Linked DNA regions of Pelodiscus sinensis. The protein of the gene in region 3 interacts with the protein of the main gene of each other region in a pairwise test. Links are inferred from orthologs where the notes say so. Each region holds a gene or a part of one and is shown on either strand. Other genes may lie near its edges.

What was found.
Region 1: the proteins of LNX1 (region 3) and CEP72 interact in binary tests that used the Homo sapiens proteins (3 or more experiments, as listed by UniProt). The link is inferred for Pelodiscus sinensis from reciprocal best matches to the Homo sapiens genes LNX1 and CEP72.
Region 2: the proteins of LNX1 (region 3) and MEMO1 interact in binary tests that used the Homo sapiens proteins (3 or more experiments, as listed by UniProt). The two-hybrid records come from large-scale screens. The link is inferred for Pelodiscus sinensis from reciprocal best matches to the Homo sapiens genes LNX1 and MEMO1.
Region 4: the proteins of LNX1 (region 3) and EIF4H interact in binary tests that used the Homo sapiens proteins (3 or more experiments, as listed by UniProt). The two-hybrid records come from large-scale screens. The link is inferred for Pelodiscus sinensis from reciprocal best matches to the Homo sapiens genes LNX1 and EIF4H.

What each region holds. Positions count from the first base shown.
Region 1 is NC_134712.1:145,501,282-145,509,495, forward strand, and holds the start of CEP72 (centrosomal protein of 72 kDa), read left to right. Parts: upstream 1-5,052; 5' UTR 5,053-5,301; coding exon 5,302-5,362; intron 5,363-6,176; coding exon 6,177-6,304; intron 6,305-7,973; coding exon 7,974-8,166; intron 8,167-8,214. UniProt on the Homo sapiens protein: Involved in the recruitment of key centrosomal proteins to the centrosome.
Region 2 is NC_134713.1:134,287,423-134,295,069, reverse strand, and holds the start of MEMO1 (protein MEMO1), read left to right. Parts: upstream 1-4,469; 5' UTR 4,470-4,548; coding exon of another isoform or gene 4,549-4,609; intron 4,610-7,647. UniProt on the Homo sapiens protein: May control cell migration by relaying extracellular chemotactic signals to the microtubule cytoskeleton. Mediator of ERBB2 signaling.
Region 3 is NC_134715.1:85,861,127-85,868,696, forward strand, and holds the start of LNX1 (E3 ubiquitin-protein ligase LNX), read left to right. Parts: upstream 1-4,163; 5' UTR 4,164-4,319; intron 4,320-7,570.
Region 4 is NC_134731.1:24,656,133-24,664,052, reverse strand, and holds the start of EIF4H (eukaryotic translation initiation factor 4H), read left to right. Parts: upstream 1-4,852; 5' UTR 4,853-4,952; coding exon 4,953-5,008; intron 5,009-7,920. Other genes in the region: MYBBP1A (myb-binding protein 1A), read right to left, coding at 580-738. UniProt on the Homo sapiens protein: Stimulates the RNA helicase activity of EIF4A in the translation initiation complex. Binds weakly mRNA.

The DNA.
Region 1 (8,214 bases), on a different chromosome or scaffold from region 3:
GCCAGACACAGAGCTTCCATGGGGAAGTTTTGGAGCCACTGGTCGTCATCCCACTGCAGCAGTACTAGCCGGTTCCACCAGTCCGAACTGGTGTCAAGCCTCCAAACTCACTTCTCCAGGAATAAGTTGGGGGGCAAGGGCAGCAGGGCTGCAGCCTGAGCGGGGGGCTCAAAGCTGGGCTCAGAATCCAATTCGCCGCCAAGGTCATCATGCTCTCCTGAGCATGCAGCAGAGCTTCCAGCAGCACGGTGTGGGGCCATCGCCTGCCCAGGGGCAGCTCAGGCTCCATGGCTAAAAAAGCCAAGTTAACACACAAACAAAAGAACAAAAGAAACAAACAAACAAATAGACGAAAATACAAACAAAGAAACAAAAAACCAAAAAAGCCAAAACCCAAAGAAACACACAAACAAACACAGAAGCAAACACAGAAGCAAACAAATAAACAAACCAGAAAATAAACTGCTGTGGTGTCCGAGAAAGCAGGGCAACCAGAGCCAAAAAAACTGCAGCAGCTTTGCTTTCCCTCGAGGAGGTAGGCAAGCCAGAAGCAGGAGCAGAGCACCGGCTGTCCAGGAGGATCACTTTAAGCATGCGTCTCTGCAGAGAGCATGCTGCAGTGCCTGGGCTTTAAGGCTACCTCTGTGACCTTCCAGAAGCACTTCTGGGTGTCTTCTTCAGTCGACAGACCGTCCCGCGGTCAGGATACTCTTTGTCGACAGAAGTAGTCTGGATGCTCTTTGTCGACAGAAGTTTTGTCGACAAAACTTCTGTCGATGGAAGCCTGTAGTCTAGACGTACCCTAAAAGAATAAAAGAGCTGTTGTGGCAATCCATTTTCAGTAGTCTAACTTCACTTTCCACCATTGCTTAGAAAGAGATGGAGGGGAGTGCTGATGCAAAGGCTAGCCATTTCAAGATGGTCACATACAGATTTTCTTTTACAATGAAATAAAAAATGTGATCAAGCAGCAACTTTGAAAATTTCAAAATCTCATCTATCTCAAATTCAAATTTATTAATATTGAACTTCACTTGAGGTATTAAACAAAGTAAGATTTATAAGCATTCGTCTGTGCTGAATTCATATATCAGAAAAATATGCTGAGTCAGAATCATATTGATCCAGTTCAAAATCAATGCAGTCCAAAGTTAAAATAGGTCTCTCATAAGCAATATTCCATGGCTAATTACTTCTTAGATAGCTTATCTTTTTCTAGTGTCAACAGAACAAATGTTTTTGGAAAATCATTTACAAAGGCTAGTGAACAAGATTGTTAAAAAATGTAAGAGCAGATCAAAAGGCAGGAAGACAGAGGGAAAAATTCTGCTCTGATACACACCTGACACTATCTCATTAAAATTAAAGAAATGTAGAGGGTAGAGTGTAAGCCAATGGAGAATGAAACCCATTGTATTTAAGGACATTAGTATGGTCAGAAGAAAGCAAACAGATAGGATTATTGTTTTCTGCTTTTAGCTTCTGTTTTCTTTTCCTTTATTATTTAATAAAAGACTCATTGCAAAATCTTAATTTTGTTTAGAAATACATTATGCACGAGGTATACTTTGCACAATTACATCAATGCATCCATATGACACTGAATTTTAGTATATTTTTTCTCATTTTGTTGATGATAAGTTTTTTTCTCCATCCAAGTTGTATTCTGACAATTCTTTTAGCCATTCCAAATATACTAGAGGGGTGTGTCTAGACTGGCAAGATTTTGCGCAAAAGCTTGCCAGCAATCTACACTGGCCGCTTGAATGTAGTAGACAGGCACCTTAATTTTTTGCGCAAGAAAGCCCAATGGCTAAAATGGCCATCGGAGCTTTCTTGCGCAAAAGCATGTCTAGACGCTCTTTTGCGGAAATACTTTTAACAGAAAAACTTTTCCGTTAAAAGTATTTCCGCAAAATCATGCCAGTCTAGACGCAGCCGAGATGTTTTAGATGTTTATTTTGGGAGAATTTCTCATTTTGCTACTACAGGTTGCAACTACCTAAACCAGGATTCTCTGGCCTAGTTTACACTGGAGCAGAAGGTCGACCTAAGATACACAACTCAAGCTACGTTAATTGGAGTCAACATATCTTAAATAACTGTCCACAGAGTGGGAGGTCAATGGGAGCAAATACTCTTATCAGCTTCCCTTAATCCTTGCAGGAAGCAGGAGTATCAGTGCTGACAGGAGTGCCCTCTGAGTTCGATTTAGTATGTCTTCACTAGACCTACTAATTCAAATCCCAGAATATTGGCCATGGCAGTGTCGATATTCCGTGTAGTGTAGACATGCCCTCTGGTCCACAGATGTTCTTGGACCAGAGAATCCTGGAGCTGGAAGCCCTGCCAGCCAGGAGCTTGGTGGCAGGGAGGCTAGTGGCTGGGAGCTCTGCCAAGTTATTCCTGAAGTTGCAAAGTGACAATGAGGAGGCATTCAGAGAGGTGCTGAGCACAGTGGAACACAACCTTTGGGCTCAGGAAACAAGCATCGAGTGTTGGGATCACATTGTCATGCAAGCCTGGAATGATAGCTGCAGAATTTTCGGACGAGGAAAACCACTTTCATAGGATTGTGTGCTGAGCTTTCCTCCAACACAAGGACACGTGAATGAGAGTTGCCGTGCTGCTGGAGAAGCACGCGGTGATCACACTGTGGAAGCTGGGTATTCCCGACATCTTTTGCTCAGTTGCCAATCAGTTTGAAGTGGGAAAGTTGATTGTTGGACGCATGTTAATGAAAGTGTGCAGGGCCATCAGTCTCATCCTACTCTGCAAGACTGTGACTCTAGGCAATGTACATGAAATTGTGGATGGCTCTGCTTGGATGGCTTCCTGAACTGTGATGGGGCAATAGATGGCACACATATTCCAATTCTGGCACCAGACCAGCAAGCCTCCAAGTACATTAACAGCAAGGGGCATTTCTCCATGGCTCTGCAGGCACCTGTGGATCGCTGTGGGCATTTCACAGACATTCGTGCAGGCTGGCCCAGAAAGATGCATAATGCATGCATCTTTTGGAATACTGGCCTATTCAGAAAGCAGCAAGTGGGGACTTTCTTCTCAGACAAGAAGATCACTGTGAGGGAAGTGGAAATGACCATTGTGATTCTTGGAAACCCTGCCTACCCCTTAGTGTCATAGCTCATAAAGCCATACTCAAGGAGCCTTGACAACAGTAAAGAGCAGTTCAATAGCAGGCTGACTGTGGAGTATGCTTTTGGGTGTTTGAAAGCCTGCTGCTGTTGATTGTACAGGAAGCTGGACCTGGACAATGACAACATCTCTATGACTATTGGCATGCGCTGTACCCTCCATAATATTTGCGAAAGGAGGGGTGAAAGCTTCACTCAGGCCTGGACTGCTGAAGCTCAGCGTCTGGAAGCTGAGTTTGAACAGCCTGAGACCAGGGCTATGAAAGGAGCACAGAGTCTCATGTATTTTTCTATGTCTAGGTTTCATATGCAGCCTTGCTGTGCAAGAGGGCCTGCAGTTCATCAGAGCTAAACCTCATGGGGATGGGTGTTGAGTGCATCAGGGAGGGGCCTGTGGGAGTCTGCATGGATGGAGATTGAGGGAGTAGATGTGGAGTGTGGTGGTGGTGGCCAAATTGTGTTGGCAGTGATGGAACGTGTATGGAAAACAGTTTTGGGACACCGGCTGCAGGGGGTGGGGGAGGCATTTGCACAGCTGCTCTGTCTGAAATGCTAAATTGCACCTAGAGTGTTTCCACTTACTACTCCATAATGTTTAGGTTAAGAGCTACTCTGTGCTTTCTTTCTGCTCCCTCCTCTCACTGTCCCTCCACTCCTTCAATTCTCTCAGCAGCAGTGAGACTCAGGATGTCATGCAAAAACTCCTCTCAAGTCTTTTGGGGCCATTTTCTTGCTTTGTGAAGCCTTTCCACAGGTGATATCAGTTCAGACTAGCATGCCAAAGTTCAGCTCTGTCAAGACAAATCTGCAACACTTACAGAGGGTCCATTATTGACATTCCATTGTTCACATTCCTAGCATTGACTCACTATCCTGGAGTGAGCATACATAAGATACAGAATCATACAATGGTGAGTTCATCTCTAGGGCAAGGGAATTCCTTGATGCATGGGGGCAGGAAATTTCTTGGTGCTGAGGAACAGGGGTTTTCATTGGTGCAGGACCCTACTGTACTCTGGGCAGGTGTGACTTGGAAACACCACTGTGTGGGGGCCTAATTGTTAGTAATAGTCACTCAATTTCCAAAGGCTGTATTAATCATGGAAGACATTTCGCTGCTTAGGGTGAGCAGGGAAGCAAACAAGAGTCTTCTGGGAGACTGCAGGTTCAATCCAGGACCATACATGGTGGCTACGTCTAGACTGGCATGATTTTCCGGAAATGCTTTTAACGGAAAAGTTTTGCGTCTAGATTGGCACGGACGCTTTTCCGGAAGAGCACTTTTTGCGGAAAAGCAGCCATGGCCAATCTAGGCGCACTTTTCCGCAAAAAAGCCTCCATCGTCATTTTCGCGATCGGGGCTTTTTTGCGCAAAACAAATCTCAGCTGTTTACACTGGCCCTTTTGCGCAAAAGGGACTTTTGCCAGAACGGGCGCACCCTAGTATTTTCGCAAAAAGCACTGATTTCTTACATGAGATCATCAGTGTTCTTGCGGAAATTCAAGAAGGGAAGTTTAGACAGCTGGCAAGTTTTTCTGCAAAAGCAGCTGCCTTACCATTGTAAACACCTTGAAAGTAAGCGTGACAAGGGCTGATTTTCCTGTGCAGTAACGTGCAAATGCAGACTGCGCCTCAGACAACTCAATTGATTTTGACAGGGCTAGCAAAAGGCGTATCCCTGACACCAAGACCATGTCCCAGCGAATCCGCACAGTCCAGCTGCACATTACGAAGGCGGTGGAGCTTCTCTATAGCGTGGCCGGGCAATGCTGCTACTGGGCAGGCTCCGCGGCCCCCACTAACAGAATAGTTCAGTCCATGCCCAGAGAGCCAGCAGCTCGGTGGAGGGGAGGCCCTGCTAAGGCTCTGGCCGAGGGCGCTGCTGCTGCTGCACGACGATCGCAATGCACCTCCGCGCAGGCGCACAACCACGCGGCATCCGCAGCACGGCCGCGCGCCACAGGCTGCGCCCCGCAACGAACTGACTGCGGGGCCGCTTCCCGCCCGGCCTCAGAGCGGGCAGAGGGCGCCGCCCGGAGCCCCCGCCCCCTCCGCAAGCCCCGCCCCCTCGCGGTATCTATTGGCGCTTCCGGCGGGGAGCTGCAGCAGTATCTCAGCGCGCATGCGCAGTGTTTGAACGCGATGGCGGCGGTCACGGAGGAGGCCATTCGGGAGAGAGTCAATCTGCGGCACCAGAACCTGGGTAAGCAACTCCCCTTCCGCGGGCGCTGCTGCTCGCGGTAGCAGGCGCCCGGAGACGTCAGCCCCGCCCACACGCCTCTCCGCCTCGCCCTGGCGGTTAAAACCGTTAATCCGGCGGATCGCGGCGGGGCAGAAAACAAATAGGCGGGGCTTGTGTCGTGGTCACGCCCCGAGCACCTCTGACCAATGGGAGGGCCCGATCTCTGTTGTGGCTGCCCTCGGGCTCCCGGGTTCTGTGGTCCAGGAGCATCCAAGGTTCTGCCGGATCAGGGATGTTGCTGGCCCAGAGAGTGCTGGAGTTTGGAGTTACTGCCTGTGGGTATACTCTGTACACAAGTGGCTATAGATGGGATCTGATTGCAAGAAACAATTTATAGGGGCACCCCTCTTTGGCCACTTGTGACTGTCACTAGAGTTGAGAATAGAAACAGAATGCTCTTTGTGGGCTTGTCCTCTGTCTTCCTGGCTCAGTTACCTTGCAGACTGCCTGGTGGGAAGCAATACAGATGGAAGTGTATTATCTGCTTTAGGTCCCCTTTGCACTTCTACCAAGCAGCATACCCCCAAGAAGTTTAACATTTTCCCTAATAGGCATAAGGAAGCCAGTCCCTACTGTTTTTAGTTCCACTTGTCAATGATAAATATTTCTAATTCACGGGCACACACAACGCTAAAAATCATAAAAATTGAACAGCTTCATCCTGCATTGTCTGTCACATCAATAATCAGGTAGATTTGAAATTTATTTTAATAATTTTAGTAATTTCATTTTTCTTATGATAAATATATTCAGGTTTTAAATTTTCTCATTGTAGCTGATGTCCGATCATTGTCTCTTCCTGGAACTTATCATGAAAAGATTACTCATTTAGGACATTCTCTGAAAAATTTCACTCGCCTAAAATCCTTAGATCTCTCTCGCAATGCATTGGTTAGCTTGGAGGTATGTTTATCTTAATTTTTTAAAATTATTTTTTAAGACAAATGTAACAAGAATAGGTTGGCTCTTGAAGTCGTGGAGAAAGGACAAGAGAATTGGAGGAGTTGTATTGAGGGTTTTATGGAGATTGGAACAACATTGGGGGAGGATTTTGTTCTTTGCAAACCTGGTACAGGTTGAACCTTTCTTTTCTGGGACTCTGGTCCAGCAACATCCATGGTCCAGAAGAACTGCGGATATTACTGGACCAAAGAGCTCCTGGACCAGAGAGGTCCCACTTGTAACTTTTTTTTTTAATAAGGTAAATGTTTCTGCATTACTTTGGAACATTGGTAACAGCATATAGAATGTTTTATTTCCACATGACAATTTTGATCTAGTTTGGGCTAAGAATGTTAAGTATCAGGTAATTGACTAATCGAATAGTTGATGCATTTTTGCATCAGCTATTTGATTAGTTGATAGGGTGCCTCCAGCACTGAAGTATAGCAACTGCCCCAGGTGAAAGTGCCTGTGGCGCTGCCACTTTGAAATGCTGCAGCGCCGCGTGGAGCCTGGGGTCAGCTGGGGAGTCCCCAGCTGACCTCAGGCTCCATGCGGTGCTGCCACTTTGAAGTACCCTACTCTTCTTCCCCCCCTTGTTGCCTCTGTTATAGAGGCAGCAAGGGGCGGGGGAAGCGACTAGTTGACTATCTGATAAACGTTTGCTTATTGGATAGTCAACTAGTCCTTCACATCCCTTGTTTGGGCTAGTGGTCAAAAATTATTTTCTGTTGGTTGTTCAAAAGCACTGTGTATAAAATCATAAAATCGTTTGTCTAATTCCAGATGGGTGGGAGTCCAGATTATAATTGGTACCCTTGATAAAAGTCTCAGCAAAAGATAGCACAGAGTCTGAACTAATGTATGAAAATATAACACATTGCCTTTCTCAAAGATACTTCAGCGGTTTGGTATAGTGAAACACTAATTACCAAACCTGTATTATACTCCTTTGTAGTTGAAGCAGGATAATAGATTAAGTACTGTCAATCCATCACCTTTTTCTGTTGTGGCTCTGATCTTAAAAAGACTTACGCTCATATTTAATTCAATACATGAGTTCATCCAATGCCCCTGGGACTCCCTGTGGTTAGAATTAAGCACGTGCTTAAAACTTTGCAGGATGAGAGTATAAGTGCAATTGCTTCTCTCAACCCTTTTTTGTGAAGAACAGCAACAATATGCTTAACTCTACAGAAGTCTGAGGTATGAGCATAGCTAGCACATCATAGCTAGTTTAATGAAACCACTTTCTGCTGCTAATATGTAAAATACACTAATGAAGAAAATTCATATCTGTAGCATATGATAGCTTGAAGAACTCAGATTTGTGTCAGTATTTGAGGTGCTCAATTAGTATTTTAAATTCAATAATTGCTCATCTTGCTCAGCAAAAGTTTTAATTTAAAAAGTGTTTTCAGTGTCATTAGAATGAGGTTTTTTTTTTTTTTTTTTTAGACCAACATCCCTTTTCATATAGACCACCAAACTACTACAGGCAGATAGAAAAAAGTGCTAAGTCACTACTTGTCTGGCTTTGATTTATACCAGTGACCTAGTGTATTTCATTCAACAAAAACTAAGTTTATATTACAAACTAATATGATTTTTGTTTTCTATACATTAACAGGGTATTCAGCATTTGATATTTTTAGAAAAGATCAATCTCTATTACAATCACATTTCATCACTATCAGAAATATTTCGACTTCATAGTTTAGCTGCACTCAAGGATGTGGACCTCCGCCTGAACCCGGTAGTAAAAAATGAGTCTGATTATCGTCTTTTTGTTGTGCACATGCTTCCTAACCTTAGACGATTAGGTAAGTAGGTGAACTCTACAATTCAGAGGTTCAAACCTGAACTTGTTC
Region 2 (7,647 bases), on a different chromosome or scaffold from region 3:
TCCATCTAGGCCAGATTGAGAGAAACAAAAAGGTATCCTTTGCAAGGGAATATTGTTGAAGAATTACTGTTATTAAAGTCTCTTTAGGGAGGTTTTATGCAAGAGAAAAATTAGGAACTTGAGTCTACAAGCAATTAAACAATTTATAAGTAATTTTTAAAGGTTTTTAGAATTGATATCCAAGATATGTATTTCAAGACTGCATTCCTTTAAGCTTTTATATGTTAATTTTGTGTCACTTGATAGTCATATAGCACTTCCTTATACAGCCTGGGTTAGAAACAGTAGCTGGTTACTATTTTAAGATTCATAGCAGATGTATGCAGTGTCCAAAGTAGAGATCAGGTAGTCGGATAGAAAGTAATGGCATACTCCAGTTTCTTAAAGGACTTCTCTTTAAACTCTTCCAATTGGTATCTGTGAGAAGTTTAGCTATGTTTTACTGTACCAACCTATAACTGAGCCAAAACATCTTGTAAGCATTTTTTCTTAGGAAACGCTGGTTATGTCAAGGCTCTAAAGTGAAATGTGTATAGTAAACTTTAATTAATGGATTTTATAAACAAGTATGAAAAACAGAGGACACTCCAGGAAGCCTACACCAATTAAAATTGAAAAAAATAATCAAAGCAGCTAAAAGTTAGAAAAATTATTAAACCAGAAGATTGGACAAAAATGTTTAAAAAGTGGTACTTCTCCATAGTCCAAAGCCATTTCTCTACTGACTCGCGTCGACCAGTCCATCTTGTTATCAGACTGCTTGGTTAACCCCACAACTTGAAATAACTCACCTGCAGTATGCGTTTCCAATTGCATTGAAAGAATTGGAAACTGTGCATTGTGCCTTGAGATCTGTAATACGTCAGATGAGTCTGGGCCTAGCAACAATTGCTTCCCAGAAAGCCAATATCTTCTTTGGTTTCTAAAGTGGCAGTGGTAAGAAAGGATTTCCTACTAAAAGCAATTCCTGAAAGCTATCATACTTATCTACTTTCATTGCAGTTAACATCAACTTTATCAGGGTCAAGACTGACCACTTTAAGAATAGGCCAGACTAGAGCTGAGTTAATAATTGTGAAGGTTTTGTTGTTGTTCAGCTACCAAAACAAAAACAAACAAATTGCTTTGACCCCAAGTGAAATTTTGCTTTCTCATGGAAAAAATAAACTGTTTACCAAGTTAAACATTTTCTATGTTGACAGAATAGTTAATCTTAATATTTGTTTATTTTTTGTTTGCCTAAAATTATTTGCCAAATTCTACCTGCAGTTATACATAACTTTGTATTGAAAAAAAATGTTTTGCTAAATTTACTATTTGCTGAAAAAATATCATCCAGAGACAGTAAATGAAATTCTTAGAAATGTAATGCAGTACACCTACAATGAAGGCAAATGGTATAGATAATATCTCTGCTGTACTTTGTTTAAAGTACAGGGAAGTACTTTTTACTCAAATTACAAAACACTGGTTTCTTTGGAGAAAAGTTACGGGCAATATAAAATTGGGTTTAATGTGGAAACTTAGCTTCAATTTTAAATATGGAGTTTCTGCTACTGCTTCTGATATATATCAAATCTCAATATTGTATGCCAGTAGTTGGAAGAGTATCAATACTTTGAACATACTCGCTGCTTTTTCACTACACTGTCTTTGACTTTCAAAGCTAAACCTATGTCACATTTTTTCCCTTACAATTTCAGGCAGAGACTGTTAATACAACTGGATTAAATATTTTAACATGGTCAGTTTTTGCATATAGACATACTGTGGTTCATGTGTTCTCTTTTAAGGTATGTATTGTCTTTGCTTATGTACAGGTTGAACCGCTCTGGTGTGGAACTCTCTGGTTTGGCAACATCTGTGGTCAGACAGGGTAGGGACGTTGGGCAGGTAGATGGGTGGCAGGATGATCCTGTGCTTCTATTTTCTCAGCACAAGATGGGTCTAGGTTACTGTGTTTTTTCTGAAGAAGTGTTTACTTCTTTGGTTCTTCTGTTAGGTCTTATTTGAGTGCAACATTGTTGGAAGGAATGTTACCTGGGGAGACTGAAGAACACCACACAGAAAAGCAGTCCTTTACTTTCAAAATAAATTAGTTTCCCTCCTTAGTATGACACATAAGACCCTATTTACATAAGACTTAAGAACTGTGCTTAAGTGTAGGTTAAACTTAGTTGTAGCTGAAATTTGCTAGAATTGAGGTTAGACCACTAGTGTGAATGGGATTAAAGAATTGTTTGGTGCCAGATTTTGATAAATTACTTGAGTGTAAATCTGGAGTAAATCCACTGATGATCATGAAGTAACTGTAATTTATATTTGTGTGGCTGATATCAGAAAATGGCCCAACATGTCCCACACTGCCCTGCTTCTCAAAGTGTGGCTCTGATTTGAAAAGTGACTATATTAAAATGGTACCTTTTTAATAGGAATGTGAAAGGTTAATGCATCACCCTTAACAAGTGATGCTTACTGGTTAACCGGTAGGGGCTGGAGCAACTCCCCACAGGCAGGGGACTGCTCCAGCCCTGTGGGGCCTGCCATGGACAAGGGGAACTCCAGTCCAACAACAGCAGCCAATCTGCAGTGGGCCTGGGTGCACTGCAGGCAGGGGTACTCCGGCAACCCAGAGCAGCCCCAGAACCACAGTGGCCTGAGTGCATTGCCGGCAGAGGCTGCTCTGGCTGTCCAGGGCAGCTCCTATCCATGGTGAGGGGGCCACAGGCAGGGCCCTCTACCTGCTCCCCCTTTAATCGGTTAAGCAATTAAATGGGATTTTACATCCCTGCTTCTTACTCAATGAGAACATCAGGGAAATCCGCTGATTTACATAACAACAACAAAAGTTATTTATTACCCTTTTCCTCCATTTTCGGTGATACTTATAAGACTAAAGGGGGTTTAATATAGGATCTTTTGTCTCCTAAATGCTGGTCATATTCAGACCATAAGGGTCATATTCAGAGTTTAGAGACACATGTCCAAGTGAAAACAGGGGTATGTATAAAGTGGAAGCCAAAGGGTAGAAGTGTATTTTCAAGGGTATGGGGCTTTTACTGTCTTTCTTCTACCACAATCCCAGACATTGCTTAACTGTTTGAGGGGAGGGGGCAGATAGGAACAGTGTGTGTGATTACAAACCAAAAACCCAATGTATCTCTTTTTACCCTACTCCGTGTACACTGCTGGTTAATCTGGGGTAGGTCCCTTGGGCCCATGATGCCAAATCTGAGGGTTGGTTAGAGAGCACGTAGTGCTTTGGGGCTAACCGGGGATGGGGAACCTACTGCCCAGGGGCCAAATCTGGCCCCTGGCTTGCCTGGATCCAGCTCCCCTCAAGTCATGGGGTTTCTCCCTGCAACATCAGGGAGCCCCACCCCAAAGCCTGGGGGGGGGGGAACCTACAAAATCTATGAGGCTGCCTACCCAGGCTCTGCTGTGCAAGGGGAATGTGGGGCTTGCCTTTCTCCTTCTCAGTTGGGAGGTGTTTTTGTGCAGCCCCAACTGATTTTTCTGTGGGTCAGCACCCCCTCCCCATCCCAAAAAGGGAAGGCTTCTGGGGTAAAAAGAGCACCCCGCACCCCCAAAAGGGAAGGCTTTTGTGGGTCAGCACCTCCCCCCCCCAGGCAAGGCCTCTGGGGTACAACGGTGACCGAAGAGGACCTCTGCTAGTGCCACTGCTAGGCCCTTGGGGCTGAAGCGGGGCGGGCTGCTGCCCCCGTGCAGGCGGGCAGGGGGGAGCGTTGCCGGGGCCGCACAGGGCCTCGCTTTCCGGCCTGCCTGGGCAACACAGGGCGAGCAGGGCCCCACAGGCCGGCCAAGTAGCTCTGGTTGGGGCGGGGCTTAGCCCGGCAGCTCCGCTCTCCCTCCCCCACCCACTTCTCCCGTGGTCTCGCTCCCCCAGGGTGCGCCCAGCTTCCCCACGCGCCCCTGCCCGCTAATCTGCCCTGCTGCCACCACAGAGACACCAGCCCGCCAATCAGCGAGGCCAGAAGCCATCACCACGGCAACCCTGCTGCTGTCCAATCCATACGGGTCCTGCCTGTGGTCTTTTACCTCCCTCCCCTCGTTCCGCTCCCCTCCAGCGGCGCGGTCCAATTGCAGGCCTGGTCGGTTCTGTAGGGCGGGGGGAAACGGGGAGAGAAAGGGCATCCAATCGTGGCCGGGCTTTTGCTTTCGTCACCCAATGGCGAGCCACTTGGCCCGCTTCTGGGCCCTCCCCTTTCCACGGGAGACGAGCAGGGCCAAACCCGGCTGCCGCGGCCTCCCCTCGCCCGAGAGCGCGGAGTAGCCGGCTCTTGCCTCGGGCTTTGTCCCAGGCTTCCCCCCTCCCGGGTTCGTGTCCGCGGCCGAGCCCGCGCCTACCCCTCGCAGCGCTTCCCCGTTCACCGCCCGGGTCCGCGGCGCCTCCGGCAGCACTGCCCGCCCCCCCTCGCGGGGGCTCGGGCTCTGCCGGGGGAGGAGGGGGGATTAGCGCTGCCGCCGCGGCCGGGCCCGTCTCCTGCCCCCTCCCCCCCGAACACCATAGGCGGCTCAGGCACCAAGATGTCCAACCGAGTGCTCTGCCGGGAGGCCAGCCACGCCGGCAGCTGGTACACAGCCTCAGGTAGCGGGGCCGGCCGGGCGCAGCCCCGGCCACCGGGGGGTGGAGGGGAGAAGGTGGGTGGCTGGGGCAGGGGGGCAGGGGGTTAGTGGGGCCGGGGAGCGCTGCAGGGTGCTACCGCCGCGGGCCGGAGCAGCTGCGGCCCCCGCGGGGATGTGCGGTGCGCGCCCGGCAGCTGCGGCCCTGGCCGGGAGGTCGGACTCGGAGGCCTTTTCCCAGCCCCGCGCCGGCTCTAGGGGCCCGGCTGAAGCCGGAGGCTGAGTCAGCGTTTTCCACCCCGGAGGGGCGGGTCGGCGTCGCGGCGACTCATCCTTGCGCCGGCCGTAGGGCCCCTTCCTTCCTCCCCGGGGTAGGGAGTTGCAGGCCCCGCCTCCGGTGCTGATATTGGGGCCTGTGCGGGGCACATGGCTGTAGCAGTGGCAGTTCCTTCCCAGGCTGCGGGCGCCCCCCTTCGTGCACACACCTCGGCCCCTGAGCCGGCGAGCCCGTAAGGCTGCACGTGCACTAAGTACCCTTATCCCAAATGAATGAGCTTTAAAACTGTGCAGCAAATCCCCGAGTGCGCCTGACGAGCAAGTTGTCTGGTAAAATAGGACTGGAATGATTCATTGTGCTGCCAGTGGCCTGGGCAATGTCGCCCCCAAAGCATTTAAGACAGTGCAGTGTGGTATGGCTAGGAAAGGGACATGCAAATTGACCCTATAGGAAAGTAGAAATTGCTATTCAAAATCAGACCAATGATCAGTATAGTTCAGAGCATATCTTCTGGTAGTGTTGGAGGATGCTGGGTACTTTACCAGTGTGAGAAACTGTATAGTGTTCAATTATGGACAATTATGGAATTACTAGCTGGTAAGAGGTTAGTCAAACAACTTTCTAATATGGAGATGTGTTATAACATGAAATAATGAAAGCCCTATTTAAACGTAGCTAAGGTATACTAAACGCATAGGTAAATGCTCAGGATGTAATGTGGTGCATGAATCTAAATGGACTAGGAGACTGTAGAACAGAAGAATATGCTGATGGCAAATCCTGTACTTGCTTGGGTGGCTGGATGACTTACTATATTTTCCTTTTCCTTTCTATCTGGGGAATGTTCTGTATTATCTGAAAATATTCTATTGAGTAATTCATCGAGTAATTCATTTAAAAAAGCCAAACAATATATTTGTTTGGCCCACAAAACTCTGCAGTTTTACTGGGGTAATGGCATAATGTAACCAAACATTTTCTCCTAGGTTGCTTTTGCGGAAAAACTTGCCAGCTGACTACACTGGCCGCTTGAATTTCCGCAAGAACACTGACTTCTTACTGTCTGAAATCAGTGCTTCTTGCAGAAATACTATACTGCTCCTGTTTGGGCAAAAGTCCTTTTGCGCAAAGCTTTTGCGCAAAAGGGCCAGTGTAGACAGCTGAGATTTGTTTTCTGCAAAAAAGCCCCGATCGCGGAAAAGCGTCCTTGTCAATCTAGATGCTCTTTTCCGCAAATGCTTTTAACGGAAAACCTCTTCCGTTAAAAGCATTTGGGGAAAATCATGCCAGTCTGGACATAGCCCTAATGTAGTAATAAAACTGGGTTACGTAGGTTGGGGATGCCTCTGCATCTCCTTCATATGAAACTTGGATATGCTTGCAAAGTGGAATATGTAAATGAATAGGCATAGCCTCTTGCTTCATAAAGTTGTTATCTTATACACATTATCTCACTGCTTAATTCTAATAGCTGATATGAAAACTCACAATGTAAGTGGATCATTAATTTTTTTTATAACTTGTGGCTTCTAAGTCCATTGTTTCTCTTCTCCCATCTCTTACTGAAAACCACTATTAAGATTGATAATGTAGAAACTCACTCTAAGCTATAGACTAGCTTTTATTTTTATGTTGATGCAATAATGCAAAACTTAAAATATTCTGATAAAATTTAATATTGTAAAAAGAGTAGTAATATTTTCTGCACATACACATCCTAATAACCCACAGTAAAGTTTGATGAAATAGATGTTCTATAGTAGCTAGAATCAGGGATCCTGTGGTACAAGCAAGGTACCATAGCAGAGTTTTGGCTGCATTAAAAAGAATCCTACAGGGTGAAAAACAGCATTTGTATTGCTGCTGTTTCTCCACCTAGCACGTTTTTAATAACATCGTGGGATAAGAGTAAAATGAAGCTCAACTGATCCTCCTGTATTTTTCCATTTCTTTCTGCTGGCCCTTTGGGAGAAATGGAGGGTGCAGATCCTGAGCTCATGGTGCAGGACTGATATGGTGAGAGACATTAATAATGTGTCTCTAATCCAATCTGTTATTGCACATTGCTTCTCATTGTTAGCAGTAAAGTGATAGACAGTGATCTGGTCAGTTTCATGCTGCTTCTGCTGGCACTTCAAAAATGTCTGCCTTCCCTGACAATCACCTGTTCTTTGCCATCACATATATGGCACAGAACAGGTGATTGTCAGGGAAGGCAGACAAGTTTGAACTGGACAAAAGGAAGCCTGATCTTGAGAACAAATTCTGACACATGCTTTTTGTAATGTTGAGGTCTTGGATAATTGAGGAGAGAAGACACAAAGATCAGGGAAATATAAGAGGAGGGAGCGATAGTGATATGAAATTAGTAGCTTGACATTTTAGTGGGGATATTTTGTAGCTGAGTTTTTTTATTTCTTGGAATCACTCCTCTATTTCAGTGTAGCCATCATCCAGATGGAAATTTTGTAGATGTGATACACTCCAGGCACAGACTTTAGATCAAATTTCAGTTACATTTGAAAATGTAAAATTCTAATGCTTTCCAAAGTGTTCCCCACAGACCCCCTTTCCCCCAAGTAATACATTTCTTTGAATATGAGGTTACATGTATCAGCACAAGTAAGGACATTTAAAACTTGTCTGTCTTTGCAACATAAACTTGCTCAGATTGCACATTCTGAATTAGGTTATCTAAATTATTAATTAGGTTAATAAGCTGACATGTAATATGGGAAGGTAAAATGATTTTTTTAAAGTTTCCTAGCTGTTACATTTAAGACTGG
Region 3 (7,570 bases):
TCCAGAAATGTAAAGGTATGGTATAGAGAAAATTAAGCCATAAATTATATAGCAACATATACACCACATAGTTCATTTCAGCTTGGTAGAGCCTGATCCAAATCCCACTGAAATCAATGAAAAGATTCCTTTCATTCCATGGGCTTTTTGTTAAAGCCGTTAGACCTGTACATCAAGACAAACTTTACTTCCCATAAAAATTCACATCACAGAAAATCTTGCATTATGCAAACTGCACTGAGATAAGCTCTCTAAAGTCATGTGTACACTGGCACAAAAGACAGCTAACTTGGGTTCCCATGGTTTAGGTTATGGGGCTAAAAATTGTTGTGTAGGTGTGCAGCTCAGTGCAGAATCCACCCTTCTACTTCACCAGGTGCAGAGCTCAGAGTCCACTCTGGGCCTGAATGTCTACCCAGCAAGTTTACAGCCCCAGCCCTGTGAGCCCGAGTCAGCTGTTCCAGGCTAGCCCTGGGTGTTTAACTGCTGGGTATACATACCACATAGGGCCAGTTGTGAGGGTCCTTCATAGAACTTCACAGTACAATGTGTTTTTAGTCTGGCATCACTAGACTAGTTGTTAAACGAGAGTCCGTAGTGCCATCTCCTAGCAGACTGGTACACCATGCTCAGTGGTCATGAGAGAATCCATAGTAAACTCCCTTTCCAACGTGGCACAATCCACCAGAAAACTATGCCCAGGTTTTTAAATCTGATTTAAAATGTTAATTCCCTAAAAGAAGGGATGGGTGAGGAGAATAGAAACAAAGACAATGGCTTTAAACCTAAAGCCGTTACTAAACTGGATGATGAGGGACCATTTCCAGACTTGTCTTTGCCCTTCCAAACTCAGTGGGCCAGATTCAGACCTGGTATGTATGGAAACAACTCAATAGAATCAAGAGATTTTTCCCCCCACATTTATGCCCAGAGCTGAAGGCAAATTTTGGCACTCAGGAAAATTCATCCCCGGGTTTGGACTTGTAGATAGCATCCAACATTGCAGAAGAGCAGTGAAGGGGACTGAAGAAATTATTATTCAAGTGACTTTGCATCTTCTCCATTTTGCACAGCTTAGCTCCATGCCCTTTCACCCTAGCCCAGCATAGAGTATTATAGGGACTGTTTTTGCCAGTCCAAAGTTACAGATATCTATTGGCTACAGTTGGAAGGATGGGCTGTAATAGTGCCCATCAGCAAGCTGCACAGATGAACACACACTGGTGTCAATCTGACCCTAGCCTCCATAGAATTTCCTAGAGAAAGTTCCGATGTGTGTGAGGAAAGGCAACTTCACCATTAAGGTTAGGAGAAACTTAAGTTGAGGCTGCGTGGGAAAAAAACTAATGCTCTCATCAGAGCTCAACACAAATAGCACCTATCCTATAACAATATTATCTAACATTTTGCTTATTACAATTTTCAGTAATTTGACTGGACTAATTTGTAGTATACTGAGTCTACACCATGTGCCAGTAAATATACCAGAAGCTGAAGTAACTTAACAGAAGGAAATGAATAACTGAATGTACACTATGCTGTCCTGATGTAAATACTTTCAGCAGTTTGGAAGTATAGAATGACTTCAATTAGAAAGGCTACACATTAAAATCAGATGTTGTGTGTTCAGTCAATTGATGCAAACTGTATAATGTGTTAAAATTAAAGACAGTAAAACTGTAATGAATCATTTTTGTTCTTTTGATTTTGCATCCGACAAGTGAACTTCTAAATCATTAGGTGGAATTTCATTAGTTCAAAGAAGCATCTAGTGTACTCAGCCTGGGTAAATAAGAGGCAGATTTAAAATAGGACCTCACATAAAGACACATCACCAGCCCTATGGCCCTGATTCTACAAAGCACTTAAGCATGTGCTTAATCATTGTGGAAGTCAAAGTATATGTTTAAGTCCCTTTGTTGAATAAGGATGGACTTAAGCACTTGCTCACAGTTAAGTATGTGTAGTTTAAATACCATTTTAAAACTCAATTGTATATAACGATGACATTTCATTAGTAAATATTTAGTTTAGGTTTTGTAGTGATTCACTGCCATTCAGTTTTTAGTGTATTTTGAAGGATAAACAAAGCATCTTACAGTATGAATCAAAGGACAGATGCAAAGATCCATTAGTCACAAACATTTTCATTAGTGACAACTGAATTTTTGTTTCGACATGAGGTAGAATAGCTGTAGAATCAGTGTTTTTTAATGAAAACATCTTCTTTTAATCTTTCTTAGGGAAAAGCAGGCATGCTGGAAGAGTGTTTATAGTGGGGGTTCTGAAAGCCACTCAATCAAACTGTAAACTCTGTGTATAATGGAAACCATTTCAAATCACAGGGTGCTGCAGCATCTCCCACACTCCTCGTTCCAACAATTATGAGTTGAAGGCCCTGTATTTGTAATGATTCATGTAATCACTACATTAGTTTTCTGCCAATGAAAATATTCTTTCAGACAAAAGAGATGTTTTTATTTTTATTGTAAACATTCATACGTAGTCATTTCACTGCAATGCTGTATACCTGTACAGCTTTTTATCTCTTTGATATTCATGGTATTTTCTCTTTTTTAATTTTTATCCATAAAATATACTCTTTTTTTGGTGGTTTAGTTGGCTTGCTTGCTATGGAAGAGTCAAACTTGAAATCAAGATTATGAAGTTTGCTCTTAATTTTTAAAAGAGTAGTCATTCTAGTTCTGATTCTTCATCTGCTGACTCCTAAAGGATTATTCTTTTAAATTGAATGTGGGTTTTGCATTATTTTCTTTTTGCATGGTTCTAAACTGAGCTATTTAAACCATTCTACTAGCAGCCTATAATTGGTCGCTAGCACTTGACCGAGTATCCTACTATCCAAGTGGATAATGGTTTTTTTGTTTGTTTCAAGTATGAATTGAAAAGAAAGAGAGATGTGTTTTGCTTACGTACCACTATCATATTATGGGAAAGGTACTGTGATGGTCTTTCAGAAATGAATATATACGTGTATTTTAATTGTGGTTTTGCTTTACAAAAATGGTATTCTAAATAATAGTCAGCACTTACATTGTACTTTTCATCTATTGCTACTGAAAAAACATTAGAAGAATTAAAAGCCAGTGAAATAGGTAAATATACCCATTTAATGGAGGATAAACTTTGATAGTTAGGATAAAGGAGACCTGCAAAGTGGTGGAGGGGGAGGGACAGAGGAGAGAGTGGAATAGATGTAGTCTTTTTTTGCTGCTGTATGTTTATATAATATGGCTTGAAAGGTCTCTCTCTCTTTTTCTCTTTCAAAAAGGCTTCTTTTTCATATTAGAAATAATCTAGACCTGAAACTCTCTGATGACTGGACATTAGTGAAATGGTGACATCTCAAGAGCCAAAAAAGTGCAAGTTGAACAATTGTGGGGGAGGGGGAAATGATTTCTAATAAAACTGTCTTTAAATGTCTTTTTTTTAGCTGTTTCTGCTAACACCTCTATAATTGCATTGACTAACATTATGGATATAAAGGAAGCTTTTGCTCAAATTCAACATCTTTGTCTTTTCAATTAAGGCCTAAGATCTTACAACATTCTCTGATTCTTCCCAGAGGCCCTTCAGCAAAAACAAGGAAAACCCATACCTGATATTTTGATTAGTTTTTTTTAAAGGGCCTCTTTTATGCACTATTAAGAAGCAGAAAAAGGGGTAAGTGATCTTATACATGATTTGTCTGGGAATCCAGCAAGCCAGCAGCAGAGCAAGGATTAGAACCTAGGATTCTAGGTCTGTGTCCAAAGCTCTCAAACTAAACTGAATGAAAGTTACATTTCAAAAGTTCAAAAGCAGAGCTAGGGTTGCTCAGTTTTTTCTGGCTTCATCTGCCTTCTTCAGGGGGAAACAAAAACAAAGTTTTGTCTTGAACCAGTCCACAGGTTTTCATTCAGTTGTTTTAAACCTGTACTAAAAGTTGATCAGATGGAAAAGCTATACTATAGTGAAAAGCACAAAAATCAAATGGAATGTATGTTGAAAACTAAAATCTACAAATGACTTTTGCTATCTGATAAGTCTGAACATGCAGGTGTGAGCAGCCTAGGGCCTGGTTTGCCAAAGCTTTAAATTGCTTATGAGTGTGCACTGAAGCTTGTCTTTTCTACTTTTTGTGATGTCAGGCATTTCCTTATGTGGTGCGACCAATAAGAGTTTTCTTCTTACAGAAATCAGACTGAAAGGTAAAACACCATTGTTGGGCAGAAAATCTGCCAAAGTTCATTAAATTACACCTGCAGGAATCTAGCAGCAGCAGCACAACTCTGTATAAATGAAAGTAAGACAGAAAGGTGAGTTTAAAACATTTTGTTCTGACTTTTAATCTTCAGTTGGCCACATATTTGTCTAAAAAACAAATGTGAAAGGAACTGATCATGTGAACAAAATACTGTACTCTTTTAGAGGAAAGGACAGTTTAAGGATCAATTAGTATCTCCGTCTTTATAATTATGAAATTACTTGCTACCATGGCCTCAGCAGTGACTTTTTATTACTTCATACGTTTAGTTCAATCTCTTCATAAATTAAAATGCTGATCAATTTCATAATCCATAGGAAAAGGCTTGTAACTTAATTGCAGTGTAACAGTGTTTCTTCCTAACTGATTTTAAAATACTCTTCTGGTTGGAAAGGATAGTATCAGCCTTAATCCACAAAATCTCTGTTTGCTAGTTGTGTTTTGTTTTGTATTTGTACATTTCTAAGTAAACTTTCATCTGTGGTAAAGTATGTTAACATCAAAATGATATCCCTTCAGATCAGAATGTTGAACTACCTTTGAAAAGATAAATTATTTAATTCAATTTGTGTTGGTTTGCTTTTGGCACATACAGTCTTCCACTGACTAACTTAATCTCACAGTCAAGTTTTAACTTAAAGCAACTAAAGTTTTTAATGATATAGCTGCAGACTGTGACCTGAATCCTTTACATAGTTACACTTGTGAATAATTTATGCATATATTAGCAGTCCCATTAACTTTTATAGGTCTTTTGACCTCTGCAAAAGTTCACAGGACTGGACCCTGTATTGGCACATACCTGCTAATGCCTCAATTTCAGCAAAGTATTTAAGCATGTATCTACATCCATCCCATTCCTGCAAAGTACTTCCAGAGATTTAGTCAAAGGGAGTTATCAGGTGCCTGGAGTGTTTTGCTGGGTTGGGAGGATGGACTGCTGAATTGAGGTCTTAGATGCATAGCTATCTCAGAAATATCATAAATAGAGTATTCAGAACACAGCTGCAGTAATTCATGCTTTCCATTTATTGGCAAACATATTGGTAACAAATTGTTCTCCCAGCAATAAAAAGAGCAAGACTGACCTTAAAAGTTCTCACTGGGGAGCTACATCAGTTGATTGTTATTTATTTAATTTTATTTTATTTTATTTTATTTTATTTTATTTTACACAGAACTGCGCTGTGGAATCCTATGTAAAGATTGAGGATCCGGTTTTTCCCTTGAATCTATTTGTATTTGCTCAGTCAAATTCCTACAGTACAACACCAATAGCTTGGCAGTTGTCCCAGTGAAATAAAACCTGTGCTTTATATTATCATCTATTGTTAAAACAAAAAAATCACTGATCTATAAAATGGAAGGCTAGGATTCACCACTGGGTTATATAAGGCATTTGAAAGGATGCTTTCTTTGAGAAGTTCTACACTAAATGCTCTAATCTGCTTTTTTCCTGAGATAATATTGGAAAATTCTTCTCAAGGAAGTAATCTGTTAATAATTTATTATCATATACTCTTTCACCCCAAAACTCTGATTGTATATTTTCCAAAAATATAAATTGAAACAAGCTGTCTGTTAGCCTTCTCTTGCCACCTGAAAATATTCCTGCCTCCACTGTCAATTCCTTTCACTCACTTGGGACTCATCTTGTTCTGGGTTCCACAAACATTAGTGCTATTTAGAGGTTTGTTCTTTGCTTGTGCGTTTGGGCGTTAACTGCTGCAGTGCTTTATCGTAGCACTGCATTAGAAAAAGAGAAGGCCCTTGACTCAATATCGTGCTTATTTATCAGAGCTGAAAATTTAAATTTCCTGTGTGAGCATTCTGAAGAGTATCCAGTATCTCTCCTAGGATAACATTTTTGTACAAAATGCCAATAAAGTACGCTCACAGGATGAGATGGTAGATAAGCTTCATTGCATTGTAGAACATTGAATTACTTTGTTGAATGTAAGACTATCCAATAGCTCAACGTTTTTTTCAAGCAGGAAGACAAAGGGACAAATTCCAAAATGCAATATTTCAATATTACAGGCCCTCTACGGGAAGTGAGGGTGAGGGGTAAATAGGTCAGTTGCTCTGGGGCCTGGGGCTCAGTGACAGCAACCAGAGCCCCATGTCCTTTAAATCACTGCTGGAGCACCGTGCATGCACTCCAAGCAGCTCTAAGGGCTGGGAATGGCCAGCATGGTGTGCTCTGGGTGGCAGTCAGAGTCTTTAGTCAGTACAGGCAGTCCCCGAGTTACGCGGATCCGACTTACGTCGGATCCGCAGTTACGAACAGGGCACTTCCTCTCCCTGGTCTCGAGCAGACCAGGGAGAGGAAGCAAAGCGGCGGCGGAACGCGCGGCCAGCTGTTAGCTGGCCGCGCGCACCGCTCTGCTTCCCCCCCTCCCCCCCCCCCGTCTGCAGACCAGGGGGAGGGGGAGCAGAGCGGAGCACAGCAGAGCGGCGGAACGCGCAGCCAGCTGACAGCCCAGACGCGTCTGGGCTGTCAGCTGGCCGCGCGTTCCGCCGCTCTGCTGTGCTCCGCTCTGCTCCCCCTCCCCCTGATCTGCAGGGGGGGGGGGAGCAGAGCGGAGCACGCGGCCAGCTGACAGCCCAGATGCATCTGGGCTGTCAGCTGGCCGCGCGTTCTGCCGCTCTGCTCTGCTCCGCTCTGCTCCCCCTCCCCCTGGTCTGCAAACCATGGGGGGGGGGGGGAAGCAGAGCGGAGCACGCGGCCAGCTGACAGCCCAGACGCGTCTGGGCTGTCGTTCCGCCGCTCTGCTCTACTCTGCTCCCCCTCCCCCTGGTCTGCAGACCTGGGGGACGGGGAGCAGAGCAGAGCAAAGCCGCGGAGCCCGAGGGCAGCAGGATAGCCACGGCGCGTCTGGGCTGTCCTGCTGCCCCTGTGCTCCGCGGCTTTGCTCTGGACGCCTGTGGTACAGCAGCTGGGGCGCTGCCGGTTGGTCCCGTAGCGCCGCTCTGGGTGCCACTGGACCAACCCAGCAGCACCCCAGCTGCTCTGCCCCAGGTGTCCCCTAGTCAGCAGCTGCTGAAAATGACCAGTGGCTGACTACAGGAAGCCCCTGCCCCGGGCTTCCTGGAATCAGCCGCTGATCAGTTTCAGCAGCAACTGACTTGGGGATGCCTGGGGTTCTTAAGTTGAATCTGTATGTAAGTCAGAACTGGTGTCCAGATTCAGTCACTGTTGAAACTGATCAGTTTCAGCAGCGGCTGAATCTGGACGCCAGTTCCGACTTACATACAGATTCAACTTAAGAACAAACCTACAGTCCCTATCTTGTACGTAAC
Region 4 (7,920 bases), on a different chromosome or scaffold from region 3:
CCTCTGGACACCCCTACACATTCCTACTAAAAGCTCACCCCTCTGTACCCCCCCAGTCCTCTGGACACCCCCTCACGTTCCCACCGAGACTCCAGCCCTCTGCACTCCCTAAATTCCCACCAAGACCCCACCCCTCTGCACTTTCCAAATCCTCTAGACACCCCCACACATTCCTACCAAGAGCTTACACCCCCTGCAATCCACAGTTCTCTGGACACGTCCCAGCTTCCCACCGAGACCCCACCCCTCTGTACCCCGCAAGTCCTCCGGACCCCACCCCTCTGCGCCCCCCAAGTCCTCTGGACCCCACCCCTCTGCACTCCCAAGTCCTCTGGATACCCCCTCACATTCCCACCGAGACCCCACCCCTCTGCACTCCCCAAGTCCTCTGGACACCCCCTCATATTCCCACCGAGACCCCACCCCTCTGCGCCCCCCAAGTCCTCCGGACCCCACCCCTCTGCACTCCCCAAGTCCTCTGGATACCCCCTCACATTCCCACCGAGACCCCACCCCTCTGCGCCCCCCAAGTCCTCCGGACCCCACCCCTCTGCGCCCCCCAGTCCCTCCGGCTCTGACCTGCTCGCTGGCCCGCAGGTACCGCAGCAGGCTCTCGGTGGCCGCCAGGCGCACCTCCTGCTGGGGCTTGGCGATGTCCCAGAAGAAGTCCAGGAACTGCCGGTTCTGCTGCAGGGTCCCCCGCGGGCCAGCGGGGCCCGGGGCCGGCGCCGCCTCCATACCGCGCTGCCGCCGAGCGCTCCCCAGCCACGCCGCAGCCAGAGCCGCACGTGGGTCCCCGGGTCCGCCTCTTCCGGGGGAGGCTCGCAGCAGCCGCGTGTGCTGCCCCTGGGCTGCCCGGCCGTGCCCGGCCTTTCCCGGGGCTCCGCGGGAGCCTGCCCCGGCCTGGGCGGGGTTGGCTGTCCCGGTGGAAACTGCCCCGCTGGATGCGAGGTCTCCAGCGCCACAGCAGAGCGGCTCCCCCCGGACCTAGCTCACATCTCACTCCTCTCGCCTCTCTTTGGGAAGTCACTCCCGTGTGCCAGCTGGTCCCAGCTCCTGCATGTTCCCCCCCAGAGCAGAGAGCACCGGTCACCGCACCTGGCCAGACCCCATAGGCTACGTCTACACTGGCACCCTTTTCCGGAAATGCTTAAAAAAGTTTTCCGTTGTAAGTATTTCCGGAAAAAGCGCATCTACATTGGCAGGAAAAAAAAGCACTTTTTCCAGAAAAGCGTCCGTGGCCAATCTAGACACGCTTTTCCGCAAAAAAGCCCCCCATCGTCATTTTCGCGATCGGGGCTTTTTTTTGCAGAAAACACTACTGTGCTGTCTACACTGGCCCTTTTACGGAACAGTTTTCCGGGAAAAGGACTTTTGCCCGAACGGGAGCAGCATAGTATTTCCGGAAAAGCGGCTGATTTCTTACAGTAGATTGTCGGTGCTTTTCTGGAAATTCAAGGGGCCAGTGTAGTCAGCTGGCAAGTTATTCCGGAAAAGCGGCTGATTTTCTGGAACAAGTGGCCAGTGTAGACACAGCTATAGGGTTGCCAGTTTGGGTTAGTTGTATTCCTGGAGATCTCATCATATGACAGTCTTTAATGGGAGATTCATCTTTAATTCCTGGAGATGCCAGGTCAATCCGGGAGGAGGGTTGGCAACTCCAGGCCAGGGCTGTGGGAAAATAATGGAGTCTCTTGCTTTTTAGCAAAATTATTGTTTTTTTCCCCTGGGCCCATCCAAAAATCAACACTCTCATGTCCTTAAACCAGTGTTTCCCAAATGGTGTTCCATGGACCCCCAGGGTTCCGCGAAGTGAAAATAAGGGTTCTGTGAGAAAATTCCATTACAGTGACATTTTATTATTTAAAAAAAATTAATATGTGATTTTTGTTTTTAAATATGTGCAATTGAACTAAATGTTGATCTCATGATCTTGTTTAGCATTTGTTTATCATTATCCTTACTTATTTGTGGTCTGCTTTTTTAGTTCTATATATTAGGGGTTCTGCAAAATTCCTTCTAGTTTAAAAGGGTTACGTGGCCAAACCAAATTGTGAAACACTGCCTTGAACTGAGCTCAGTAAGTATCCACTGATAGGCTAGGTGTCAGATATTGACAGACATGTTTTAAGGAGCCATTTAAAGTTTCTCTTGGGAAATGTAGGGTTTTGCTGTGGGCACTTCAGTAGAAAATGCTTAAAATGTCATGGATTATTAATTTTAACACCTTCCCTGCACACACATCTCTTCATTTAAGTTGTCTCACGCATGCAAAATCTAGATCTCATTAATAGGCAGATATCCCTGGCTCCGCACTTGGGGAGGTTCTGCATTTTAGGGTAACCTGTCAAGTGATTATCTTGTCCCTCTTCCTCATGGGCCTTTGCATCCTTCACTGTTCACAATCGCCCACCCATATCACCATATGTACATATTTCCCCATAATTTTTAGGGTGAATGATCCGTCCTGTTTAAATTCATGAGCTATTCATGAGAGGCCTCACACAAGCATATGGACCAGCAACTCATAGGAGATAACTGGAAATCAAGAACCAGTGATGTAGGATCAACATATTTAATGTATTGTTTAAATTTTCTAGAACTACACATTCTCCATTTCATGAAACTCTGCAGAACAACCAGTGTCAAAATCTGAAAAAAGTACACACGCACTGTAGGATCTTCCTATTGGCACCTGACTTAGACTCTATTAATTACAATTATGAATATAGTCCATGTCTCCTGACCTAAATTTGAAAGTAAGATTCTCTAAAACTAGCTGCTGTGTAGATATGGATATTGAGAAAGCTAGCCTCTCAAATGCTTTTGAAATATGACAGCCTGATTTTGTCTGGGTCAGACATTAACCATACCAACAATCAATCAGACTGTGGAAGAATCAATATGTCGTCTACTTCTATAATAAAACCCCAAAGAGCAGCCCAGTTTAAAAATAAATAAATAAATAATGCAGAGGATATATCTTTAAAGATATTGGAAGTTTCTCAGCTAGAATCCATTATCTTCCCTCTCAACATTACCACAAAGAATGAGGATAGGTTCCCACCCAAGATGCTATTTACCAGGAAGAGCTGTCCAATAAATGTATAGTGTCATTTTTCCTTTTAAAATTTCTTCTCATCGCCTGTCTGCACAGAGACAAGAGACTGTACTTTGTGTTATGCTGTTAGTGATACCTAGGCAAGGCATTCTAGAATTTAAAGGCATTCTAACAGATTCATATTTTAAGAGGGATTCAAATCTTGTTATTTTAAATCAAATGTCCTAACTTTGGGTTATTATCTTAGATTATCTTATTATTATTTTAGATGTGAAAACGTTTGTAACATCGAATGCTTGTCACAATTTATGCTGTTGATTTTTACATCACACTCAGGTTGCGTGGCAAAAATAGAGAGTAGTTAGGGTCTTTTTAAAGGTCATTTTCTAGTTTGTGTATTTAGTAGGGTGCTGCAGTGTTTGTGTTGCTTTTATATCTAAAAAAACACCGCCATTTCTATGAATTGCAGAATTTCTTTCCAAAACCAAAATGCCAGAGCCTTGTGCTGCCTGATTGCATTTCTTTAAAAGTACCGATTGAGTACACCAATGCACTTGCTATAAATACATTTTGTGATGATAGCCTGAGCCCTGCGGATGAGGACAGTAAACACTTCCCATGGGTCTGCATACAAGCTGGAGTCAGGGGGCCCAGCACCCTGGCTCTGTGGCCCATAAGCAGGCATGCTGGGTAGCAGCAGCTAGCTGCATTGAGCTCCATGGATGGTGCACACAGCCTGCGTATTGGGGGAGGCAACACACTAATCCCTATGAGACAGACACAGGCTGGAGGGGGCAGGAGGCTGCGTTGGGCCTTGTGTGTCTGGCACAGTTTGGGGGAAGGGAAGGAGGCTGCCTGCATTGGCCCCTGTGGTGCTGACAGGCTGGGGGGGCTACATTGACCCCTTTGGGGCTACCCCAGGTGGGGGGGAGGAGGCTGCATTGGCCCCTATGGTGCTGACACAGGCTGGGGGGGCTACACAGGCTCCTTTGGGGCTACCCCAGATGGGGAGGAGGCTGCATTGGCCCCTATGCTGCTGACACAGGCGGGGGGGGGGCTACACAGGCTCCTTTGGGGCTACCCCAGATGGGGAGGAGGCTGCGTTGGCCCCTATGGTGCTGACACAGGCTGGGGGGGCTACACAGGCTCCTTTGGGGCTACCCCAGATGGGGAGGAGGCTGCATTGGCCCCTATGCTGCTGACACAGGCGGGGGGGGGGCTACACAGGCTCCTTTGGGGCTACCCCAGATGGGGAGGAGGCTGCGTTGGCCCCTATGGTGCTGACACAGGCTGGGGGGGCTACACAGGCTCCTTTGGGGCTACCCCAGATGGGGAGGAGGCTGCATTGGCCCCTATGCTGCTGACACAGGCTGGGGGGGGGGCTACACAGGCTCCTGTGGGGCTACCCCAGGTGGGGGGGAGGAGGCTGCGTTGGCCCCTACGGTGCTGACACAGGCTGGGGGGGCTACACAGGCTCCTTTGGGGCTACCCCAGGTGGGGAGGAGGCTGCATTGGCCCCTATGCTGCTGACACAGGCTGGGGGGGGACTACACAGGCTGGGGGGGCTACCCCAGGTGGGGGGGAGGCTGCATTGGCCCCTATGCTGCTGACACAGGCTGGGGGGGGACTACACAGGCTCCTTTGGGGCTACCCCAGGTGGGGGGGGGGGGAGGCTGCGTTGGCCCCTACGGTGCTGCCCGAGACGCGGGAACAGCGCTGGGCGGGTGAGGGACTTTTTAGACAGGCAGCCCGGCGGGCAGCCGCGGCAGGGCGGGGAGTTTGGCGCAGGCAGCGGCGCGGGCAGCCCCGGGCCGGGCCCCCTATATAAGCGGCGCGGGGTCCTGCGGGCGCGGCCCTGTCACGCTCGCACGGGGAGGAGGCTGAGGCGGCGATGGCGGATTTTGATGCTTATGACGACCGGGCCTACAGCAGCTTCGGCGGCGGCCGGTGAGCGCGGGCGGCCGGGGCTCACGCGGAGGCGGGGCCCCGGCCGGCGGGGGGTCGCCGGGGCCTCCCGGGGGGGGAGGAGACGCGGGGGGGGCCCGGCTGGAGGGCAGACGTCGCGGGGTCCGGTAGGCTGGGGGGGGAGGGCCTGTGACTGGGGGGGGCAGAGCCCGCTGGCGGGCCGGGCTGGCGCGAGGAAGGCGGGGCGAGGGGCGCGTGCGACGGCGGGGCTGCTGGGGGCAAATGGGGCTGGGAGCAGGGTCTTGTGATGCCTCTGCAGCTAAGGGGACACGCCGCGGGGTGGAGCATTGTGACGCCTGCGGCTTTGCAGCCCCTCCAAGGGACACGGGGGGGGGGGAGCCCGCCCCTGTGGTGCGCGGCCTGCTGAGGTGAGAGGGGGCTTCAGGGATGGGAATCTGATCGCTGAGTCTGCAGGCCCTTGAGAGGCGCGTGGCTTCACTAAAAGAGGAGGCGGCCGCAGGAAGGAGCCTGACGCCCCGGGAGTGCCTTGTGCTGTGTCTCTCCAGCGCCTCCAAACCCTGCGGAAGGATAACGGGGTTCTTTAAGTGTGTCTGAAACGAAGTGACTTTATTGCCTTTAGACTAACATCAGTCGACTTCTGCAATGCTGCAGGGAGGAAGCAGCTACTATTCCGCTGTTGTGCAGTCTGTTCGGCTCATAAGGATTAATTAAAATGTATCGTGTTTAGGTTGGGCCACAGCTATGTGTAAGGGGCATTTTTATCTTATTTTTTTAAAATAAAACTTGATTGATAAAATGTAATACCCTCTAATAAAACACTTCGAAATGTCAGAATTCCTTTTCACTAGTTACCTGTGTTCCTTTTTGCCCGTCTGTCATTTGGCACAGTACAAATGGATTAGTTTCAGTTTCTGGTTCCTGTGTGCTAGTGCATTGGATAGTAAGCCATGCATAGGGTAGTAATAGAAAGCCAAAATAAAACATTGCATTTATTATTTAGAAATGAGTGAATATCTAAGTTTTTTAAATTAAGTTACATTTTGTGCCTGAAGGATCAAGTGGTGTTGTGTTTCTCAAGCAAAAATCGCTTGAAGAATGTTTACAGTATTAGCTTATACCTCTTAGCCCGTGTTAGGTTTAAAGTTTATTTAACAATGATTTAGAATTAAATTCAGAATTTGTTGTATCAAACGTTGCTATTACCAGGTAATATGCCAACCTTGGTAACCATCTGAAGGTTCTATAGAAATCTCATGAAATAAAAATGAAGTTGTAACAGCTTCAATGTTCATCTTTCTCAGAAGTTTCAAATAGTCTTTAAATTTCTGAAATAGAATTGGTATATCAATCGAATAGCCACAGTGTTTGAGGGATACACATAATACACACAAGAGTAATTCACGTACAATGTTACTATTAACATAGTGCTATGCAATCCTGTTTCTCCAGAGGTAGGGCAAGTTTCTGTCCTAAAAAATGAAAATCTACATTAGGTTTAACAAAGGAAGGAACATTCTTACTCAGTACCTTTTAAGCAAAGAAAAGCTTAGACGTATTTTTACATTAAACTGAAATGTTAAAAACATAGCTAGCAGATCAGTAAATACAGCTTTGGGTGAGATAATACATTAACTTTTATTTAATAGAGCCACAGTCTTTTGCCTGAAACACTGAACTCTCAATTTAGTAGTTTTGTTTAATAGTTGTGCTACTTGAAAAACATGATCTCTTTAATTGTGTCTGATTGAGAGCGTTTACTAGTTTCCCAATGAAAATGACTGTTTAGTCACTGCTGACTCATAAGGCTTTGACTACATGAATAGGATGAGTATAACAGGTTACCGTCCTCCTTACTCCAGTCTCCCTTACATATTGAATTAATAGAAATGAAAGTTTGATGGAAATGAAGTTACATATTACTCTTTGCAATTCAAACTTAAGGCCTGTTTGTTAGGGATGTTAAATTACGATTATCTGACTAATCGTGTAGTCGATACAATTTGTATTGACTATACAATTAGTCAATAAGGACCGCTCTGCAGAGCCTTTAAAATGTGTTTAAAATGTTTTTAAAACTGTTTAAAATGAAGAGCCTCAGCATCCCAGACCAGCAGGAGCTGGGACTGCTCGGTCCCGGCTTGTACTGAGTCCATCAGCCCCTGTTTGCGGCAGCCAGCCCTGAACAAAGGCTTCTCCGGCCGCAGCCCCTGTGGGGGGGGTGAGGTGGGAGATAGCTACCTGCTAGGATCCCCACAGTCAGGGGCTGCAGCCAGAGCAGCTTCTGCCCATGGCAAGCCTCAGCCCACCATGGGCAGAGGCTGCTTTGCAGCATCCTCCCCCATCCCACCCCTGCTGCCTCTGATACTAACAGCGGGGCGGGGAGGGGATTTTGAAGCCGGCTCCCGCCAGCACAGGCTTCTGTTTCCTGCCCCCTTGGTGCCTCTCATAGAGGCAGCAAAGGGAGGGGAAAGTGCATAGTAGATACTCCAGTTCACAACTTGCTAACATCCCTAGTGTGTACATATACTTGTATAACATGGTGAGGGCATAAAATATTAGACACAAAGAACGGGGGGTGATCATATAGTTTTGAGAACCACTAATTTAGGAGAGAAATGTTCACCTAAGACAAAACAGAGATCTAAAACCTGATTCTTGAGAATAAAGTATTAGCAGGGCTCGACAAATAATACAATCTACTCGCCCGTGGCAAGTAGATTGTAACCCAGAAGAGCCAGGTTTGGGCGATCTGTGCATGCGCAGGTCACCAGACAGCGCGGCTGGCGAGCGGGGCTCGCCGCGGTTCAGCGAGCCCAGAGTATTAGATGGTAAAATTATTTCATAATGCAAATCCTTCTGACATTTTACTTTCATCAGTACAGGTAGACAGCTGGCATTCTGAGACCACTCCCTGTCATGGTGACTAAGGATGT